Linked DNA regions of Macaca fascicularis. The protein of the gene in region 2 interacts with the protein of the main gene of each other region in a biochemical or structural test. Links are inferred from orthologs where the notes say so. Each region holds a gene or a part of one and is shown on either strand. Other genes may lie near its edges.

Region 1 (3,810 bases), on a different chromosome or scaffold from region 2:
GGCAGAATTGCTTGAACCCAGAAGGCAGACGTTGCAGTGAGCTGAGATTGTGCCACTGCACTCCAGCCTGGGCAACAGAGTGAGGCCCCGTCTCAGAAAAAAAAAAAAAAAGCTTTATTATTAGACAAATGAAGAAAGTGAGTGGACTATTTCAATAACATTGACCTTTCTTATTAATTCAATCAACATTTACAAAATTCCTGAACTTTTCTTTTCTGTGTGGCAACTGTGAAGATGAAAATATAGTTCCACTGGGGAAACCAAACGAGGGAGTTTATGTGGTGGGAGACGGACAATGTGGCTGTCATGACACATCAATTTCTTTTGTTTGTTTTTTGAGATGGAGTCTCGCTCTGTCGCCCAGGTTGGAGTGCAGTGGTGTGATCTCAGCTCACTGCAAACTCCGCCTCCTGGGTTCAAGCGATTCTCCTGCCTCAGCCTCCCGAGTAGCTGGAACTACAGCCGCCCACCACCATGCCCACCTGAGTTTTTGTATCTTTAGTAGAGACGGGGTTTCACCACGTCGACCAGCCTGATCTCGAACTCCTGACCTTGTGACCCGCCCGCCTTGGCCTCCCAAAGTACATTCCTCTTGATGGGGGGGCAGGGCACAGCCTGGGTGGGAGAGGTGAGGGGTGAAGAACGGGGGCTTTGAGGAAAGGAGATCCACAGAGAGGAGAAACACTTCCAGGTGTGTCTGGGACTAAACGACAACTGTCTGCCTGATTTTCACGTCAGTGCTACGGAGAACTATTTCTAAAGTACACGACTTGTGGGCATGGGGTGGAAGGCTGGATTTAAACTCGATTCTGTGCTCTGGCCGGGCTTATCCACAAGCTGGCTTGGCTTGGCTCAGGGAGCCTGGCATTGCTGTTGAAGAGCAGCAAGATGACCTCACCACGAGCAAAACATCTCATTCCTACGGGCTCCTGAGGCATCCGTCTGTGACCACTGACTTCAACTCTGCGACACAACGCGCTTTCCCTGACGCTGTCAGGCACATGCCATTCATGTGTCTTCGCCACTGCTCATTCCGAAGCATCACAACTTAAAAGGATCGTAACTAAAAAAATCACGTGCTCTCCATCAACCAATGCTCAGAAATATTTTCCCATGCGGCCATCTTGCCATTCTTTTGTCAAAACTGGAAATTACTCTACATTTCTGCCAAGCCTGTAACAAGTTTCAACTTATCACAATCAAGAAAAAAAAAAGTATATCCTCTACGAGTAAATCTCTCAATAAAGAAAAGAGAAGAAATGAGCACAGACCAATGAGCTCTCTTGTCTTCGCCTCCATCTCCCCCAGCAGAGTCTCAGGGTTGGTGCTGGTCTTCTCTTCCTCCACACAGTAAGTTTCTAAAAACTTCTTATATTCTGGATCTAGACATTAAAAAAAACAGAAAGAAAATAAATATAATCTTTCCCATCTACAGGAGAATTACATTTGCTCAGTGTTCTTAATTTGGCAGCTTCATAATGTAGCACTTGGAAAGGGCTCACCATCTTCGATGCTTCCAGTCTTGGCATCTTTTTTTTTCAGCTTCTTTTTGGCTATCTTCTGGAACGGAGCAAACTCTACCACTGCAGGATATTCTAGGCCTTTTAACAGGAAACATGTTCCAGAAGCCATTCTGAAATTCTACTACATTCATTTTAGAAAATAATGACCTAGCTTACTTAAAGAGTAAGTGTAACAATGACAATGTATTATTACTATTTAAACTATAATTCATCCTTCCAGTAAGAGATTAAAAAAAAAAAATTTAAAAACCTACAATTACATTTTCAAGCACCTGCAACTTTCACATGGCAAACTCCAGACTAAAACAAGGATGAACTCATGGTAGGAAGAACAATTATTTATTAAACAAAACAATCCATCATGTTGTGGTGGTTGTGTAACTGAATTTGTTCAAAATTCATCAAATTGTTCACTTTAAAAGGGTGACTTCTACCATATATAACTTACACCTCAATAAACCTGACCTCCCCAGCCCCATCCCAAATAATTTATTGTTGGAATACCTTTAAATAATCAGATTTCTTAACTACGTTTTACATTTTATTTTAAAAGGTTAATTCAACTATCAATTTGTTATTTAAGTTTAAGAAAATTACTTTGCTTAGAGGACACCATGGCTAAAATTGAGAGCTTCAAAGGGTTTATAGAATATTCCAGGTGAAATCTGCTTCTGATAAAAGTAGAGAATGGAAGCCATTAGAAACTAACTTTGTTGCTATGTGGGGGAAAAATGAATACACAAAGAGAAATGTTCACTAAGAGAACCTGCTATATGCCAAATCATCAAATGGAACACTGCTACCTTGGTACTAAACCCACTGAGTCATTTTTAGACTTGTCAGTAATGGTCAGGTGACTGAATTATAACTCCCTTATCTGGGAGCCATTTTTGTGCCAACCTCCACTATCCAGAATAAAGTCAGAATCAGGGAGACAGTAGGGCACTGGACCAGCAGGGATGATGTCCAAGTCACCGCTCCACCCACAAGGCCTAGCACACAGTGGATACTCATTCAATGGCAGATGACATAGTCCCTGATTCCAAAGCTAAAAGTAATCAGTGTGGTACTGCCACACAGACAGACACATCCATCGAGGGAATAAAATAAAGAGCCCAGAAAGAAACCTTTGTAATATTTGGTCAACTGATTTTTGAAAAGGGTGCCCAGACCATTCAATGGGGAAAAGAAAGTCTTTTCAACAGCTAGTGCTGGGAAAACTGGATATCCATAGCGAGAAGAATGAAGTTGGACCCTTACCTAACACCATATACAAAAAGTAACTCGAAAAGGATCAAACCTAAATATAAGACCTGAAACCATAAAACACTTAGGAAAAAACACAGGGGAAAAAGCTCCACGGCAATGGATTTGGCAATGGGTTTTTGCATATGACATCAAAAGCACAGGCTTAGGCCAGAGACCATCAAAACAACGGCGGGGCGGCCGTTCACGCCTGTAGCCCAGCACTTTGGGAGGCCAAGGTGGGGGAAATCGCTTGATACCAGCCTGGGCAACTTAGCGAGACCCCGTCTCTATTTAAAAAACTAAACAACAACAACAAAGTAGAACCGGAAATAAGGACTGACTTGCTCACTACTGGTGGGAATGTAAAATGGCACAGTTGCTGTGGAAAACAGTACGGTATAAATTTTGTGACTTTTCTTGAGACAGAGTCTCGCTCTGTCACCAAGGCTAGAATGTAGTGACACCTCGGCTCACTGCAACTTCTGCCTCCCAGGTTCAAGTGATTCTCATACCTCAGTCTCCCAAGTAGCTGAGATTACAGGCACGCACAATGACGGCTGGCTAATTTTTTTATTTTTAGTAGAGACAGGGTTTTACCATCCTGGCCAGGCTGGTCTCAAACTCCTGACCTCAAGCGATCTGCCCGCCTTAGCCTCCCAAAGTGCTGGGATTACAGGAGTGAGCCATCACACCTGGCCATGTTACATATATTTTACATATATACACACACACACATATATATACGTACATACACATACGTATTTTTTCACTCCGTCGCCCAGGCTGGGAGGCAGTGGCATGATCTCAGCTCACTGCAACCTCCGCCTCCCGGGTTCAAGCAATTCTCCTGTCTCAGTCTTCTGAGTACCTGGGACTAGAGGTGCCTGCCACCACGCCTGGCTAATTTTTGAATTTTTAGTAGAGATGGGGTTTCACGTTGTTGCTCAGGCCGGTCTCAAACTCCTGATCTCGTGATCCACCCGCCTTTGGCCTCCTAAAGTGCTGGGATTACAGGGGTGAGCCACTGTGCCGGGCCCAT
Region 2 (4,243 bases):
GTAGCTGGGATTACAGGCGCTCGCCACCACGTCAGGCTAATTTTCTATTTTTAGTAGAGACGGGGTTTCACCATGTTGGGGCCAGGCTGGTCTGGAACTCCTGACCTCAGGTGATCCACCAGCCTCGGCCTCCCAAAGTGCTGAGAATACGGGCATGAGGCACCATGTCTGGCCAGAGGTAAAGCTTCTTAAGGTAATCCGACAAAATGAGAAAAAGAGACCTTGAAGAGAAGTGTGGGTGGCTATCACCAACATGGTATTTGGGGGCAGTTCTCATCATTGTTTATCAAGGCTGCAGAATAGCTGTATTCACCTTTCTCTTTTACTACCCTTTAAATGATTGACCTATGTGTAGTGTGTATTTTTTTAAAATACAGGAAGCAGCAACACTCAGTATGAGAGGATAATTTGCGTGCTAAGAGTAAATGGGGAAGCAAACAGTAAATAGAGACAAACGGGCAAAGGTTGAGTCATAGGGAACCTGGACTTGCCTCAAGTATTTGTGGTTGGTAGTAGCTCATTATGTGTGCCTAGACACCAGGTGGGGCCCCCGCAGGCCAAGCAAACGTCAAGACCAGTTTCGCACCCTTGTTCCTCTAGCTCCGGACCAGCCAGAGCCACCTACTCGGATCATGTTCGCAGAACCCAGCACTGTTTCGAGGCCAGATGCACCATTTCAGAAATTCAGTGGGAAATAAGCAGTGTGGATAAACTGATACCCCATTTTTAAAAGTCGGCCTGGGTTCGCATTCAGAAGAAATGTCGACGCTAGCCATTTTTTTTATAAATGGGTGATTTGATAACTCAGGGAGGTCTTTCCACTGTAATAAAAATTTGCTTGTTAGAACTGGGTGTTTTCTAAGAAGTGTATGGAAAAAGCCTTGATTCGTCTTCGCCCTGGGTGGTTTTTACGTCGAACACCTACAACTGCTACAGAAATCCCCCCGCGGGACTTTTGATGTCTTCTAGGGCATTCTTAAAACTAGACCCATTCCTAAGCGACTCCCACCTCCCAAACCAGCCATATGCTTTAGTTTCTCCAGTTTCCAATTTTCTAAATCTTCAACGTCTCCCCTCGAATTAGTCCAATCAAACTTTCTCTTCTTAGACCTCTTCCTTACGTTCGCACCAGGAAACTCCCAGGAGAATCACGTGCCCAGGCTTGTCCTTAATGGCGCTCCGTAACCCTCCCACTATTCCACCACCCTTCCTCGCCTCCCGTGAGCTCCGCCCCGCCCCATTCGCGCTTCCCACCCCCATCCCCCGCGAAGTGCTTGCGCCTGCGCAGCTCCAATTCAGGCGCTTTCCCTTTCCTGGCGACCAATCCACTTCCTGCCTCGGGTCCTCGGAACACTCCACCTCTCCGCTGGGGCCCTGGCTTGAGGTGCTGGTAGTGGCTACCTTACGCATTACCTGTCTGAAAAATTCGCTCTTCTCATCGACTGGGGAATTTGGAAGAGCCATTAAGTGGGTGGCACTTATATGAGCCTTTGCCTCGGACCCGCCACCCCAGAGTCAAGCTGAGGGCATCGGCATGCCGCGGGGAGGGCGATCAGGACTGTTTTTAATCGGGCAGTCGCGCGGACGGCCTTTTCCCTCTCGCCTCCTTCCGCCCCGCCCCCACTCTCAGCCCGGCCGCGCTGGTGAGTGGCGGGCGGGAGGGCCGGCGGGCGGAGGGAGGAGGGGGAGCTAAGGGAAGGCGGGCCCTCGGCTGCGAGATAGGTGGGGGGAGGGGAGGGGAGAGCCCGAGCGCTGGAGTTGGTGCTGGGAAACCCGGGGCTAATGTTGACAACAGGCTCGAGGTGAGTCCCGGGGATCCTCCTTCCCCTCCGCTCCAACGATCGGGAAGAAACGGGGCTGGGGGGCACCGGCCTAGAGTCCTACTCCCTGGGGGACCCCAGAGGCGACTCCGCACTCTAGCTCTCCGGGGTCGGCGAGCAGTGGAGGGACCGCGGGTCCGGCGTCGTTCTTCTCAGACCCCCTCTCTCCGAGGCTCCCATCAACGCGGGAGCCCCCGGGCCGGGCCGGGCATGGGGGGCGGTGGAGGAGGTGCCTGCCCCACATGCCTGGGCCGGGCCTCGGGGCTGGAGGCGGGGAGCCCGCGGTGGAGGGGCGAAGGTGTTCGGGGGCGTGGAGGAGAGCGAGGGGAGGTCGGGGGAAGCTCCTCGAGAGCCGGGAGGGAAGCGAGGGCGAGGAAGTGGGGAGGGCGCGTGTGTGGGAGGCTGCGGAGTGGGGAGACCGGCCGGGGAGGCTTCTGTGGCGAGGGAGTGTGGGGCGAGAAGTTGGGGTTGGGGCAGCGATGGTCTGCGAAGGTGACCGTGGATACCTGTGGGAAGGGGAGTTGTGGCGGGGAAGTGGTGTGGTGGGTGTAGACGTTGCCACACCACCAGAGCAGGGGTTTGTAGGAGAGGTGTGTGTAGGCGAAGGGGCTTGGGGTGTATCTGGGGATGGTGGGCATGGGCTGTTTGGTTGACTTCCTTTTAATCACATAGGCTGGTTATTCTTCACTTTGCCTTCACCCCTTCAAGACTCCAGGCACTCTCTTCTTGCTAGGACTGTTGGACTAAGGAAGTGACCACAGGATATTTGGTCCCCAGGTTGGCAGAGCAGAGCCAGCTGGGTCCACTCTGGGGTGATCGGACCTTCAGTTGCCTTGCTCTTCTTGGAGGACTTACACGACACGAAGTGATGCATCAGATCAAAGTGAAACGCTCGCTGACGCTTTATCTCATTTCCATAGTTCTTAGGTGTTCCTTAACATCGTCAGTCTCCTCATTTGTGAGCTGGGACAATTTCTAACAATTCTTAACTAAACGTCCTTTATACTAAGGATGTTCTTTAAAAAATAAAGTCAGAAACTGAGAGAGAGTGTTCCTGTGCTGTTCTGTCCTTACAACATTTTGACTAAGAATTGAAAGGTGAAACAGCATTCTCTCACTCTGGAGTATTTTCGGAGCACTCTGATTGGGATTTCATACATAACCCATATGGTACTTTGCAAGGGAATATCTTTAAAAAGGAAACACCCCCTTTTGTGCCCTCTTCCCCCCAGTACACTCCACTGGTACTTTTACTAGTAAATTAGTTTTACTTTCTTTTGGGAGTTCAGAATATATTTAGAATACCAAATAAAATATACAGTTCAAGTGACAGGACACTATTTTGGGAGCTAGGAAGGTGGTTTTAAAGCATGGTTTCCTTTTAAGGGTAGTCTGAATATAAATTGTATTCAGCAAACTAATTTGTAACAGCTAATCGGATTCCAGCGAAAAGATCACGATTTTTTCTTGTTACTATCTTGAGAAAGGACCTTTTTAAAATTGTAGTTTGGACTAGAAAAACTTTTGGAAACACTTTAGATGACAAGTTTGGCTGTTAAAGCTTGAAGTTATTGAAATAAGAATTTTAGTATTTTATTAAATATCACTTAGTGCTCAGTTTCTTTTCTTTTTTTTTTTTTTTTGAGACGGAGTCTAGCTCTGTTGCCCAGGCTGGAGTGCAGTGGCCAGATCTCAGCTCACTGCAAGCTCCGCCTCCCGGCTTTACGCCATTCTCCTGGCTCAGCCTCCCGAGTAGCTGGGACTACAGGCGCCTGCCACCTCACCCCGCTAGTTTTTTGTATTTTTTAGTAGAGACGGGGTTTCACCGTGTTAACCAGGATGGTCTCGATCTCCTGACCTTGTGATCCGCCCGTCTCGGCCTCCCAAAGTGCTGGGATTACAGGCTTGAGCCACCGCGCCCGGCCAGTGCTCAGTTTCTTAAGTGGACATAAAACAAACGTGTTTTGAGGTGAATCATGGTGTTTGTATATTTTATTCGTTTTAGTGTAGGTAGTGAAAAAGAGTACTGGGTAGTGAGTGTTGATCCAGCCATGGAAACTATCTGTGTAATCTTGGGTAGGTGACTCTGCTGCTGTCCTTGGAATGTAAAAATTGAGGATAGAAGTAGATAAAATCTAATAGTCTTTATTTGACTTTACAAATCTCTCATTGTATGCTGAACTTCTCAGTGTTCTTTGTGAGCGAACATTTATTAATGCCTCCCTCGTGCTAGTTACTATGCTAGAATTTTAAGAACTTTACAAGATAGATAGCAGTATATCCTTCTTATTGATAAATACGTGGACTCAGAGAAGTTGTTGCCTGATTTCTGTAGCTATCAGGCTGCAGAGTTGGGAGGCAGATTTAAAATCTATCGACTTCCAAGCCCATGTATGTTGTTTTCACAAGTTGCATTGCTGCCT

The links.
Region 1: the proteins of UPF2 (region 2) and UPF3A form a complex in vitro, tested with the Homo sapiens proteins (2 studies listed by IntAct, with this or other methods). The link is inferred for Macaca fascicularis from reciprocal best matches to the Homo sapiens genes UPF2 and UPF3A.

What each region holds. Positions count from the first base shown.
Region 1 is NC_088391.1:104,525,434-104,529,243, reverse strand, and holds part of UPF3A (regulator of nonsense transcripts 3A), read right to left. Parts: intron 1,645-3,810; exon of another isoform or gene 1,642-1,644; coding exon of another isoform or gene 1,602-1,641; coding exon 1,503-1,601; intron 1,383-1,502; coding exon 1,272-1,382; intron 616-1,271; coding exon of another isoform or gene 392-615; exon of another isoform or gene 260-391; intron 1-259. UniProt on the Homo sapiens protein: Involved in nonsense-mediated decay (NMD) of mRNAs containing premature stop codons by associating with the nuclear exon junction complex (EJC) and serving as link between the EJC core and NMD machinery.
Region 2 is NC_088383.1:12,953,815-12,958,057, reverse strand, and holds the start of UPF2 (regulator of nonsense transcripts 2), read left to right. Parts: upstream 1-1,297; 5' UTR 1,298-1,643; intron 1,644-1,715; exon of another isoform or gene 1,716-1,802; intron 1,803-4,243. UniProt on the Homo sapiens protein: Involved in nonsense-mediated decay (NMD) of mRNAs containing premature stop codons by associating with the nuclear exon junction complex (EJC).